Caenorhabditis elegans: one gene and its partner. The protein of the gene in region 2 interacts with the protein of the main gene of each other region in a pairwise test. Each region holds a gene or a part of one and is shown on either strand. Other genes may lie near its edges. The genes, in order: exo-3 and cpr-9.

Region 1 (7,525 bases), on a different chromosome or scaffold from region 2:
GAAGTATTTGAGGAAAATATGGAAATTTACAAGCCGCTCACCGAGCTCGAGCACTGGCAGAAAGCGAAAAAAAGTCAAAATCGGAGTGGATGATTCGATTCATTTTCCAATTGAGACGTTGTCGCATTTTTCGCATTTCGAGATTCGTTTGAAGAAATTCACGATTCAAGATGCAGAGAAGATCAGAGATGTATGCTAAAACACCGGGGATTTTCGTTATATATTCTGTTTTTTTTTTCAGATCGTCCAGAATTCCCCTTCTTTTCAATCCGGAATCGTCAGAAGCCACATCAAAAAGCCCTACCAATTTGTGAAGATTTTCAACCGAAACGTTGCACAACAAAGTGGCTCAATCATCTATAAAACAATGGGATCTCGCTTCAAAATCAATTTTGGATATGACTCGTTTGAGATTAAAAAAGAAAACAATAATTAATGTCCGGCCTTTGTTAAGTTTTTGTTTAAAGTTTAAACAATAAAATTGTTAGTTCGATTTTTTTTTTGATATTTCTTCTTATTATATTTGAGTTCATTCATATTTCCCACAGTGGTACTTTCGAAACTTGTTATTTTTCGAAAAAAAAAACACGGCGTTCCGACTGTTCTTTAGCAAATTTTAGCTCGTTTTTCGGCCTAATTTGAGTGAACTTAAAATTAAAATAAGCATGAAAATTCTACAGAATTATACCTATTTTGCCATGTTTTTTCAACATATTTCATTGAAATTTAGTTGTTTTATCTGAAAATAACAATAATTTCAGCTGAAACATTTGAAAAAACGCTCAAAATTGGCCAAATTGCTTTAAAACATGCCTATGGTACCACAATGATCGAATATCATGATAAAAAATTCAAAAAAAATTTCTAAATTTTTATGATTTTTTGAAAATTGGAAAAATCGCAGTTTTCCCCTAATTCCTATTTAAATTTCCGCCAATTGAACTCGTTCGTTGGAGCGCGCTTGCATGATTTTCATTATTTTCCTATTTATTTCTATTATTCCACTGATTTTCTTCATTTTCTGTGTTTTTTAAATGCGCGCTCCACCGAGCGAATCCAATTGGCGGAAATTCAAATAGGAACCTATAGGAATTAGGGGGAAATTAAAATTTTTCCAATTTTCAAAAAATCATATAAAATCTAGAAAAAAATTTTTTGAATTTTTTAAAGGCATGTTTTAAAGCAATTTCCCCACTGGCCTCACTCTACCTTTAAGCACAAATCCACAAACTCGACTCCCCCAATGAGTACAATGTCAGAGTCCGATTCCTGCTCTTGTTCTGAATTCGACGAATCGATGGATTTGTGTTACGAGTTTGTTGCTTCTTTAGTTTAAACTCTAAATAATATGCATTTTCCAGAAAAATAATAGAAAAGAAGAATCTTCTGCGAAACAACAAAATTGCCATTCGCTCATGTATTCTGTTCCTGTATCTTCAGAAAGAGTCTGTCTATAGTGCATATCACTCGTTTTGTAATGTTCTCGGATACGGTTTGATGGAATATCGCGAATTCGACTTTTGGTACTATCAAATCGGAAATGGAGATGCTGATTTAGACTGTGAAATGAGGTAATTAACCGAGCCGCGACGCGACACGCAACGCGCCGTAAATCTACCCCAGGCATGACCGAGTCAAAATGGCCTAGTTCGGCAAACTCTTACATTTCAAAATATGAGGGAAGCTAGCGAGAGCGCCTTAAACAAAATAAAATAACTTTCAGCTATGATCCAAAAAGTCGCAGCCTGCCCGATATGCCTATCCAAATTGTTCATAAAGTTCTGGATGATATGAAACCATTTGAAACGTCAGTCTTCAATGCTTACTTAATTTTTAAAAATAGTTAATACCCAAATTTTCAGATTTCCTATTCGTAATGTGTCTCGAAACTTGAGATCTATCATCGACAATCGCAATTCTGGCATCAAAAAAATCTCGATGAGCATGGGCTACGATCGATTGGAGTTGTACCATGATGACGATGACGAAGATTATCGATCGTATACGTGTCGGAAGAATAAAAAAATTCGCAATAAGGAATATATGAAGAAACCATTGGACGACGTGGCGATTCTATTGAAAAATCCGAATCTTAAGCTGGAAGAGTTCAAAGTGGAGGTCAATGATGAATTCACTGAAAGATTTGAAGTTGCTAACTGCTATGAGAATTTCAAGGAGACTTTCAAAGCTTCGGAGGCGGAAATTAGTGCTAAAAAATTCACGATTGACATGCTGGACCTGCAAGATATTACCCAAGTCGTTTCCCATTTTAAACCGGGAGATCTCGAAGAAATTGGCATTGATGAGCTCTCCAATAAGAAGGACGTGGAACAGTATTTATGATGATTATGTTGATGAAACAATGGATATGTACTTGGCTCTTTTTGAGCTGGAGCAGTGGAAGAAGATTAAGAAACTTCGAGTCTGGGATCACCGTTTTACTTTCCCAATTGAAAATCTCTTCCATTTGTCGGGTTTTGAGGTTAAAATGGAAGAATTCACGGTTGATGACGCCATCAAGATTAGAGATATACTTTAGAAAATTGATTATTTTCAATAAATCTGATTTTTTTTTCCAGATTCACATGAAATCCGATCACTTTCAATCCGCAATCATCAGATGCTCTACAATTAAGGCTTCTCAACTCGCGATGCTTTTCAATCATGAGCAATCAGACGAAGAACATGCTCCGTTCGTCTATGAAACCGAGACGTCACGCTTCAAAATTAGGCTCACCTTTGGCTATTTGGAAATTAAAAAAGAACAGTGATCTCGTGTTGTTTCCATTTTTTGAAATTCTGTTAAACATTGTTACTTGTTGATGAATTTGTTTTTTTTTTTCAGACTTTCTAAATTTAAAAATTAGTCGAGATTCATCAAAAATACAAGTTTTAAAGCAATATTCACAAAATAAAATAATCAGAAGCAATTTAGAAGTCGATTTGCATGACGACCGGAGCATGGTCGCTTCCCATCACCGAGCTCATGATATCACTGCGTTTGACCTGAAAAAAGAACATTAAAATTGAATTTTAATTTGGATTTTATCAAAATTCCAGTGGAAAAATTGAATTTCCACTTGGATTACGTCGAAATTTCAGTAAAATTCTAAATTTTTAAGTGGATTTCATGGAAATCTTCTGAAAAATTTCAATTCCCCGGTGGATTTTGTCTAAATTTTTTTGGAAAATCAAATTTTTATGGCAAATTCCATCAAAATTTCGGTATCCACCGGGATTTTACGGGAAAAAATCCCAGACATATTGCATTTTTTGCCCATTTTTTCAATTTTCCACAGCTTCCAGACGAGACCTTATTCATAATTCGATTGCTGACAACATAATAATCCAATCTCCATCCAACATCTTTCTGCCGAGAATTCGCCAGATAACTCCAAAATGAGTACTTCTTCTCGTCGGGATGCATGGCTCTGAAGGTGTCGGTGAATCCCAACTCGAGCATCTCACTGAACCATCCACGTTCTTGATCTGTGAATCCCGCGGTTTTATTTCGATTTGATTCTGGATTCTGAAAGGATCAGGGAGTTAATTTATAATTTTTAAAACAAATTTAATACAATATATTTACTTTCAGATCAATTTCATTATGTGCAACATTCAAATCACCCCCGTAGATCACTGGCTTCTTCTCGTCCATCTCCTTCATCTTCTCGGTCAGCAGCTTCTCCCAGCGTCCTCGTTTCTCCAAATTCACCAGCTTCGCGCCCGAATTTGGAACGTAAGCTCCGATAAAGTAAAACTTGGAGAACTCGGCGATGATCAGACGTCCGGCAGTGTCGAATTCTGGGTCACCGATTCCTTTGTGAACCTTCATCGGAGCACATTTGCTGAGCAGCCCGACTCCTGCGTAGCCACCGTTCTTCTCTGTGGAGACGACGAGGGTTTTGGTGTAGTTCTGGAAAAAAATTAGCTTTGAAAATCGCTTTTTCAGCCATTTTCTCGCATTTTTCTGCTAAAATTTCATTCAAAATATTTTTAAAAAGCACATAATATCCCTATTTAAATGGAAATCTGGTAGAATTTTGACTTTTAAATGTTATTTTTATGCAAATTTCTTTTGAATTGCGATTTTCTTTGTAGATTTCAGGAAAAATAGTGAATTTCCGCTTGGATTTAATGGAAATTTCTACGTTTTTTCGTTTAAAATGTGTTAATAAACATATTTTTGATGAAACCCGGCCGTAAAATATGCGAAAAATCTCTTTTCTTCCAGGAATTCCTTACCTTAAACGTCTCCTCCATCTCCGGGGGCCACTCCTTACACTTGGTCTCTCCTAGAAAAACGAGGTCAGGCTCCTCGGCGAGCACTTCCTTAAAATCACTTTTCTTCACACAAGCTCTGAGCCCTGCCACGTTCCAGCACACAAACTTCCAGCTTTTCTGATTATTGTCCTCTTCTGCCGGCTTCACCTTCTTTGTGAAGATCGAGGCGAGCTTTGGTGCTGGTGCTTCTTCTGCTTTTCGCTTCGACATTTTCAGCAACAGGTTAGTAGTCGAGTAGGCTCTTGAACGGAGCAGCTGGGGAAGAAGAAAGTTGAATCAGGTCGGCGGATGGAAGGATGACAAATAGAGAAACTTCCCCGAATGTTGAACAGATTAGTTAGAGAATAGTTGAAATTGAATTAAATAATTAAATCGATAGTTTCATTGGATTGTTATTAATAATGAGATCAGTGAAGAGCAAAAAAGTAACAAAAACCCGATATGAAGATCAACTTATTTGTTGGCGAGGTTGACGCGGAGTGGTCTTCCATTGAACTCGGCTCCATTCATCTGCTCGACGGCTCTCTGTGCGGATCCTTCCTCGGCGAACTCGATGAAGGCGAATCCACGTGGACGTCCGGTTTCGCGATCACAGACGATTCTGAAAGAGATATTGCGTTAGAAATCATGAAGCTCGGGCTGGCTGGGAGAGTTACCTGACGTTGTTGATTTGTCCGATGCTGCTGAAGAAGTTTCCAAGCTCCTCCTCGGTGGTCTGGAATGGAGCGTTTCCAACTAAAAAAAAGGAAAATTTTAATTGATTTAAATATTTCGCAACCAAATTTGAATCTAAACACTTAAAATTGCCTTTTCAAATGAAAATATTAGGGAAAACTTCGCGAATTCGATTTTTCCGAAAAATCCCAAAATTTCAGGACAATATCGAGTTTTATTGGCTATTTTAACCAGTTTCCGATTGTTTAATACTTAAAATAAATTATTAAAAAACTAACCGTAAACAGAGAAGATTCCAGACATGACGATTTTAGGCCGTAGCAGAAAATTTATGACGGTTTAATTTTTCCGCTCACCCTGCCTTGGAGAAAACGTGCGGCAGTTGCGTAAAAACCGTGCCAGGGTTGCGTTTTGGCCCCGCCCCTCGAATAGCATCGATTTCGACAGATTTTTTCCATTTCAAGCTGAAAATATGAGGAATTAGTCCAAAATAAGACCGCGAAGAGTGTTGAAACTTGAATTTTCAGTTGTAAGCTCACATTGGGCTGCGCATAGCCCAGGATTCAAAACTTGCTCGAACCGAAGCCGTTCCTTCAAGCTTCTAGCCTCAACGCTTGCCATCAGATTGACCCCAAATGAAGATTCGAAATAAAAAAATAGAGCATATATATTTATGATAACGATTTCATGGGTTTATTATTATTGAGATCATTAAAGATCAAACAAGTAACAAAGTACCGATATGAAAATTAGTTGTTTCTGTTTTGAGCCAAGTTGACGCGTAGAGCTCTTCCGTTGAAATCGACTCCGTTGAATTGGTCGACGGCTCTCTGGGCAGCGGCCTCCTCGGTGAACTCGACGAAGGCGAATCCACGTGGACGTCCGGTCTCGCGGTCGCAAACGATTCTGAAAATAGAGATTCATATTGAGAGTTAACGGGTCGTCGTTCAGGAGGTTTCGGGAAGAGGAGATTTCGGGGAGAGAAGCTTACCTGACGTTGCTGACGTTTCCAGCCTGGCTGAAGTAGTTGCCAAGGTCGTCCTCGGTAGTTTGGAATGGAGCGTTTCCGACTGAAAAATGCATTAAAATTATTAAAAACTCAAATTATCTCAGCCTAATCAAATACAATAAATAGAAAAACGCCTGGAGAAAAATAAAAATTTTAGGCCAGACTTTAAATTCGGCTTTTCTCGATTAAAATCTGCTTTTAAAGCTGAATATTCCAGTTTTCTACTTGAATAATTTACAATTAACAAAACTAACCGTAAACAGAGAATCCAGACATGACGATTTTAGGCCGGAGCGTAAATATGTGTGATTCGAATCGTTTTCGCTTGCCTCCTCCGACTCGTGGGAAACCGTGCGGCACTTGCGGTAAAAGTGTGCCAGCCTTGCGTTCGCGCTCCGCCCCCTTTAGTCATTTCAGCGTTAGCAAACGCTGCGTCTTTTATTCCTCATTCTCTGTCATTTTTCATAGCAATTGTTTCATTTTCTCACGTAATTTGTCGTTTTTTCGCTGAATTACAAGATTTTCATCGATTTTTGACCCTTTTACACTGTAATTTTGCCAAAAAAACGATTATTTTCTCTATGTTTCCGTATGCGCCGCCTATATCGCTGAAAATTATCGTATTTCTTAATTTTTCGCTTTCAGAATGTTCAATCTTCAAAAACGAATCAACGGCAACAACGAGGACGGTCGGTATCTTGAAACCCGCATCGCCGTCCGTGACAAGCTCCTAGCTCAGGGTATGTGGCTGCTTTATAAAAAATTTTGATTTTACAACATTTTCAGAACTCCAACAGCTGGAGACTGCTCTTCGCGATCAGAAGCAAAAGCTGTGGCATCTCGAGGTCCCATCAACATCGTGTCTTCATGAGTTGGAACTCACCGTGACACCTCAAGAAGGAATCTATCGTGGAGGCAAATTCCGATTCAAGATCACCGTCCCGCCAGAGTACAACAACGTGCCGCCCGTTGTTAAGTGCCTGACAAAGGTTTGGCATCCAAATATCAACGAGGACGGATCGATTTGTCTATCGATTTTGCGTCAAAACTCGTTGGATCAATACGGATGGCGTCCAACGCGTAACCTCACCGACGTCGTCCACGGACTCGTCTCACTGTTCAACGATCTTATGGACTTCAACGACGCGCTGAACATTCAAGCCGCCCAGATGTGGAGTCAGAATCGCGAATCGTTCAATCATCGTGTTCGGGAATACATTTCTAGATATTGCTAAGGACCAACGGATCGGATTACAAATGGCCTGTGAATTGACCCCCCCTATGAAATTGATTTTGATTCTAACTTTTCCCCCACCTCTCAGACTTTTTCTAACTGTACTTTTTGAAAGAAATAAAATTTATTCTTGAGAAATTTGAGAACTTAAGAAGAGAAGAGAAAATCGAATAAATTAAACAAGTTAAAGAGATTTGGTGGATAAAATAGAACAGAGTCTGAAGGAATTAAATTAGATTGGCTTGATCTTGAAGTGAAGGCCAATGAGCGAGAAGACGAGGCACTTGAGATCCTGAACGAGATAGTAGAACGAGCGGAGACCA
Region 2 (7,136 bases):
TATCTTAAAGTTGTAGAAGTGAATTAAAAAAAAAAAACACAATATGTCGTATGTATAAATTTTTTTTTCTAAATTTCTTCAACTTAATTCTAACTAGATACTTATCTTCACAACCTAAATTAATACCGTATGCCAATATTTCAACTTTGTTCATTTATTCCGCCAAAGCGCTAATCTGTTCCCAAGACGTCAACCCTAATTTCAATATTCAAGGCCACCCCACATTTTCCCCTACAGGGCATAACTTACTAAAGAATTTACAATTTACCGCGCAAAACTCAAACAAAACAAACGAGTAGTTGACACCAAAATTATCCTCGAGGACATCTTTTCATTGTTTTCAGAAGTCCGTTCGCGTTGAATCGCCCGTATTTGGAAGATGACTACACCGACTACTATCGAGATTATTTAACCAAGACAAATAGCAATTTTGCGATCAGGGACTATGAACGCAAAATTCGAGTTTTTGATTCTTCTATTTATTATATTCGTGTACTCTCTTATGCTCAAGTAAGTTTCAAGACGTGTTCATTACTTCCTAGTGTGCTCTCTTGAAAATCTTTTAATCCAGTTTTTATATATGCAACATCACATGGAAAAAACCTTATCTCAGAAGAAATTTAGACTGATCTAGACATTATGTGATGTAGATTTACAATAAAAATACATGTAGTCTTGAGCTTCATCTACGCTTTTAAAAATGTACTTTCCAGAATTTAACGTTTAATGAGCTATGTTGCTTAAAACGTTTAAAACTTTGGAGTGCGTTCTCATAGGCACAAAAAAGCAGACGTAACTAGTTTCGAATGTTACCTACATACATACATACAATTAAAGAAAGATATGTACATATATGTTTGAGTTTTCTTGGGAAAATAGGAGTAGATTGTATTTAGAAATGTTGAAGCCAGCATTGAAGGAACGCAAATAGGCATAGCCTTTGTGGCATTTTTGAGTCTACCACCAGGCAGTGTACCTGTATCCCAGAGTTCATAGCACTTGAAGAACGGATCGTCCTTTAATCCTTTAAAAACAAAAAATATATAAATTAATACCTAAAAAGTGTATTTTTTCAGATTTTTTTAGCCGGTATTCTCCTGGTGACTGATGTTTCCAAAAACGTACTTCTTTGGAATTACATACAAATGAATGGCGTCAAAATTGAAATGCTCGCTCATGTCATATTTCCCATATTTGCTCTGATCGTCGGTTTTATATGTCTGACAGCTATTCTCAATCCATCAAAGGCATTGTCTAAATGTGTTGCCATTCTGCTGCTTGTCATTATTGTGCCAAATTTTATATTCCCAAAATATTCAGTTTTTATGAAAAGTGAGTTTTAGTTTGAAAAGTTTAAAATTTAAAAAAATCACATTATTTCAGCAGCAATAGAATCAGTGGAAATAAGTCAAGTAATGGATCGAAGTCTTTTTGGAAATGATATTGATATGATAAAATCAGAAACTCATAATCGAATGTCAAAGATTTTAATGTTATCAACAAATCATTGGCCATTGGGAGTATCTGATTTAACAAGTCTTCCAACTGATTTTGTTCTTATGATGCAGTATCTACTTATTGCATATTCTGTATTTTCATTATCCCTTTTTATTTTTTATGTCATTACTTTGTTTTGTTTTGTTCGTTTACTATCTGTTCAATGAACATATATTTTTCATACAATTTTTTGGGAGTACAAGTTCTGTGCATTATATTATAATAACCCTTTTCAAACAATTTGAATTTTGGAACAAAAGAAACAGAATTCGAATTAATCTTGACAAAAAAATATGTAATTCAAGTTTGTATGCAAATGTTAACAGAAAATATAAGAATAATTCAAATATTTATAAATCGAATACATATTGTACAATAGGCATTGAAGTTGCAATCACAAACACAATGTTTCGAGATTTACAATTTTGGAATTCCTCCGACGACTCCTCCCTCAATTCCGCACTCGTTAACTCCACGAATGATACGGAAATATCCGTTCTCTCCCCAATCCTCATTCCATGAGTTGGCACAGAGCCAATATGGTGTTCCATTATCAACTCCCCATCCGAGCATCTTTACGGCATGTCCTCCAAGACTGGCTCCAGCGGTATGAACGTAGACTCCTCCGGAGTAATGCTCAAAATCTTCGTAGACAGTGAATGCAACCTCAACTGGACCATGAGTCATGATTTCCTTTTGGATTTCAGCAGCCTTCTTTGAGACGGCGTATGCAGATTGTCCGAAGTGAAGATCTTGTTGGTAGGTGAGAGCATATCCAGCTTGGCAAGAGCGTTCGCATTTGTCAGTTGGGTACATGTTGGATGGGCATGGCTTGTAATGAGTTCCATTGACGTGATGTTCACATGGTGGATATGGGTATGGCTTGCATCCAGTCTTATCTTGATAAGATCCTCCGGTAACGTATCCCTTCTTAACATAGTGACGCCAGGCTTCAATTGGATATCCACCATTGCATCCATTTCCACAGACCATTCCACAGCAAGCATTGATATCGTCAGCAGAGATGGAAAGGATAGTTTTGGCATTTGACGCAATGCAAATACGATCAGAAATAGTTTCAGCAGCAGAGACAGCCCAGCACGATCCACAGGATGATTGATCACGGATCTTGGAGATGGATGGGCAGTTTGGCCATGCGGTACGGGAATCGAATGAGTCTGGAACAGCAGCATCCTCGACTTCTGGATGAGTCATCTCGAAAACCTGGAAACAATTTCATTAGGATAAATTAGTTTGAAAGAAATCTGTATTTTTTGGGAAGCGTTTTTCAAAATCTTTAAAATATTCAAATTTACTAACTCTGTACTCTTCTGGGATCTCGACCATCTTAGCTCCCATCAATTGCTTCTTAATGGTATCTGGGTAAGAGCTGAAGTATGATCCGAGCTCAGCCTTGAAGGAAGTCTGAACCTTGTTGACGTAATCAACAAGTTCCTGTCCACGAAGCATTTGAGCTTCAACTGGAATGGCATCTCCGTGCTTAACCTCAACATTGTAGGCGTTGACGGCGACAAGGCCGACAAGAAGAGCAGCAATTGCAGTTTTCTGAAATTGAAAAGTTTTTGAAACTGAAGTTAAACTTCAGGAAAATTAAGCCTTACCATTTTTCGATTGGCTGGAGAATTGGGAAATTCGACAGTCGACCAATTTATCAAGCGCTTACCAGGGGTTTTATAGTTTTTTCGTTTCAAGCGACTGATAACTTTTGAAGTTTGGCGTTTTCTCGAATATTGCTGATAAGAATTAGGCATTTCGCTACTAGCTCCGGTTTCATTTCGAAGTGAAAGGCCTGATTAGACACGTGCATGTTTGCGGGAGAATTCAAATTATTTGCTTAAACTTGGACTTTGAAAGCGAAAATTTGCAGGGTTAACGAGTTGTAGAGGTGATTAAAGAATATTATATTTTGTGCTCTCATAGTGTTATGCCTTTAAATATAATCCCTAGTAATAGACTGTTCCAATAATTCTTCGAACATTTTAATAGGTGTATTTTCGTACTATCCTGGTCATATCAACTTTCCAGCAGTACAATTTTAAACTGAAAATAGTTTCCTTACAATTATCAGCTCGTTTTTTCGGTTCCCGAAAAAAACATCCGTGTTTTAAGATAATGTGACGTCACACGCGACCATAATGCGAGATTGCATGGCATTGACGATCTGGATTAAAGTACATACCAGTCTATCAATTTTGTTTTAATTAATGTTTGATATTTAATTTAAAAACAAACATTCAAACAGATTTTGCTAGTTTGGCTCTGGTGTGTTAGCTGTTATACTAACTAGAATACATCGAGCTATTAACTTTGACCTGCTTAACTTGTCATATGACATGTTTATCATAAAGATGCATGTACGTCAATGTTTAGGTTATCACTATTCTTATCACAGGTTCGTAGAAGATCGATTCCAACTCCCACAAATCAAACAGACTACATTTCACTACAAAACACGAAATAGGGGCTACAAATGTCGTTTAAACTACTTTAGACACCTCAAATAAAACAAAAATAATCTGCCCCATGCCAGGCTCGAACTGGCGACCTTGGCATAACCTATAGACTATAAGTACCACGCGCTAACCGACTGCGCCAATGGGGCACGGCCCTAACGCATGAGAATTAGCCTTGACAAGTATACTGCTCTCCTCGGTCTCCTAGACTCTCTCCGTCTATGCTGTGTCTCTGTGGAGGGGTAAGGGATACACACATGAACCACTGTGTTGTGCGGTCTCTTGACCATTGCCTTACATAGAGGAAAAGGTGGGAGACCTAAAGAGCAACGAGCGGGGAGAGACGCAGACATTTGTATTTCAAGGGAAAGGGGGAGAGGTGAGCTAATGGATATTACGAATCGAAGATGAGATTATTAAAATAGGGGGCAACAGTGTACAGCTAACGGAAACTGGCACGGAAGTTGGAAGATGTTGGTAGTGGAAACACCTTATTCAGATTTTAGTCAGCATTTTCAAACATCTTCTAGCAGAAATCAACCCGCAAAATGTACGGATTGGTCATTGAAGGTGTTCGGTTTATGATACAGGAAAACTGGGGACCCCAAGTTCTTCTGCAGGTTTGACTTTTTCTAATTTTTAAATACCAACTTGAATGATCTTTCAAATTCCAAATGAAAGTTGAAAACATTTAACTTTTTAATGACTCCGTATCAATTATATATTGATGTGTAGGTGAGTAGCTATGCAGCCAATATAAAAAAGGCGCCCATTCAAATATTAAGCTTTAAACTTTATGACGTCATTAACCGGAAAAGACTTCTAGAACATTGCGATTTTTTCTCGATTTTTTTTCTAATTCGACGTAAAAATTATCTTTTAAAGAAAATTTATCTTTACATGTTCATAAGACCAAAAATATCAGAAAAAATTGTTATAAAACTTCCAAACTTTTGAGACAGCTGGCTAGCCAGTCTTTCGAAGCAACAATTTTAAAAAACAATTATGCCTAAATCAAAGAAACTTCAAAACTAAAAAATCATAATTTTAAATAACATACTTTTCGTTTCACAAGTTTGTTGAAATGAGTTTGATTTTCAAAGAAAAAACGAGACGTGATAAAATAGTAAAATTTGGCAGATTCTCTATATTAGTCATCACATTGAAAACGAATCTCGTGGCGAGACCCGCTTCGATAGAAAATAAAATTCCCCTTTAACTGTGTTGAAACTCTTTGTGTCGGATGAATTCGAGTGCAACAAAGAAATGCCAGCTGGTAATATTCATACTGTTTAGAGACTAGCCTTGCGCATCTATGTATATTATAATATTTTATCTGTCAAATGATTATGAAATTGCAAAAAAAAATTGTTATTTAACTCTTTCGCAAGTCTTGAATTATATATGGATCTTAATATATCTGTTGCACAATGACCGATTTGGCTATTGAATTAGCCAAATAACTTGAAAATTCAACAAAAATATTAGGTTTCAAAATACAATATGGCATGCCATTTTAATAGAGAAAATACGGCAATTATGTATAATTTCATATGAGGAAGTTTTTATATAGTAAATAGCAACAACTGGTTTCAAAAAAAAATGTTTTGCTGGTAATGAAAAATTTCAGAAAATTTATCTATCTAATAGTAGGTATTCTTTTTTATATTTTCAGGTTCAAAAGCTGACATCACTGTCAGAAAAGTCAGTATCAACTCATGATCAATATTCGGAACACGTTGTTCCTCAAATGTTCAAAGCAATTCATGAAATCACTGGAACACCATATGAACAAATTGGAGTTCTCGCTGGAAGATTTTTCGTTCAATTTTTGATTCGAAATGGTTATGGAGATTTGATGAATGTTATGGGAAGGAGATTTTCGGATTTTATCAAAGGACTTGATAATATTCATGAATATTTTCGATTCAGTTATCCAAAACTCAGAGCTCCGTCATTTTACTGTAAATCTGAAAGTGAAGATGGTTTAATTCTACATTATCGGAGTAGAAGAACTGGATATCTTTCTTATGTAATTGGACAACTTGTTGAATTGGCAAGAGTATTTTATCAATTGGATATTGGAATTCAAGTATTGAAAAAGAAAGAAAAAGGAAGATTTACTTTTGTTGTTCTTAAGATTTCATTTGATAATGTTGGCCTTGGACAAGACTTGAAGTGAGTCAAAATCTTTTTTGGCTCTATTTTTGAAATTAAAATTTCCGATTTTCAGATTGAAAGAACGCGTAAAGAATCTGAATGAATATCTGCCAGTAGACACCAAATCATTCCTTCAAATGTTCCCTTTTCATATTGCCTTCAACAAAAAGCTCGAGATCTTAATGGCCGGACAAGGTCTTCTCAATTTAATGCCAAATATTCAAGGGCTACTAATGACTGATGTATTTGATCTGCAACGTCCATGTATTAAGTTTACTGCAGAAGGAATTATGGTTCATCAGAATTGTGTATTTCAAATTGAGTCTCTACATCCGGTTGTTAAACAAACAGAGGAAAATATAACAGTTCAAATTAATGATATTACGGAGGATAAAGTTTCATTGGAAAAGAAAACAGTTATGGATAATGAATATGGTTAGTTTGTCAAAAAATACTTTCCTGGTTGTACGATATAGGCTCTTTAAAAAAACTCCGAAAGGGCACGCAAAAAACCGCATTTCCGAGCTCATATGGTCGCCAGCAGTGTTTTATGCCATTAAAATATTATAAGGCCCAATGATTTATTTGAGAACTTCAAATAATATCCACTAATCTTTCAATCATTTTATTAAGGTTTAGAAAGTTTGCCGTATGTAACTCTCCGTGGTCCAATCACAGTTCTCAAGTCATCTGAAACATTTCTTCTACTTGCCACGTGTGTTGTTGACACTTTGGATACAATGTTCAAAATGGGACTATATTTAAACGATTTTGGAGAATCTGATTGTAATCGAGAAATTATTATGGCAACAATACAGAAAAGTGACACTTTGAAAACAATGTTGGAAAATGAAAAACGAAGAAGTGAAGTTCTAACAGAAATGACAAGAGAGATATCAGAAGCAAAGAAAACTGCAAGAACTCTTCTCACTCAAATGATGCCATATGAAGTTGCACAGACAATGATGAGAAGTGGAAGTGTTGATCATTGTGAAGCATTTGAAT

What was found.
Region 1: the proteins of cpr-9 (region 2) and exo-3 interact in a two-hybrid assay, tested with the Caenorhabditis elegans proteins (2 studies listed by BioGRID).

Annotation. Positions count from the first base shown.
Region 1 is NC_003279.8:11,904,713-11,912,237, forward strand, and holds exo-3 (exodeoxyribonuclease III), read right to left. Parts: upstream 4,540-7,525; 5' UTR 4,495-4,539; coding exon 4,246-4,494; intron 3,917-4,245; coding exon 3,590-3,916; intron 3,530-3,589; coding exon 3,314-3,529; intron 3,007-3,313; coding exon 2,932-3,006; 3' UTR 2,859-2,931; downstream 1-2,858. Other genes in the region: rbm-3.1 (RRM domain-containing protein), read right to left, coding at 4,738-4,885, 4,941-5,019, 5,238-5,262; rbm-3.2 (RRM domain-containing protein), read right to left, coding at 5,709-5,865, 5,951-6,029, 6,223-6,244; NEDD8-conjugating enzyme ubc-12, read left to right, coding at 6,615-6,708, 6,755-7,203; mag-1 (Protein mago nashi homolog), read right to left, coding at 7,435-7,525.
Region 2 is NC_003283.11:11,999,160-12,006,295, reverse strand, and holds cpr-9 (Peptidase C1A papain C-terminal domain-containing protein), read right to left. Parts: upstream 3,244-7,136; 5' UTR 3,123-3,243; coding exon 3,120-3,122; intron 3,064-3,119; coding exon 2,818-3,063; intron 2,722-2,817; coding exon 1,915-2,721; 3' UTR 1,712-1,914; downstream 1-1,711. Other genes in the region: F57F5.3 (ABC transmembrane type-1 domain-containing protein), read left to right, coding at 345-510, 1,077-1,332, 1,384-1,664; gcy-33 (guanylate cyclase), read left to right, coding at 4,520-4,591, 5,647-6,149, 6,205-6,566, 6,765-7,136.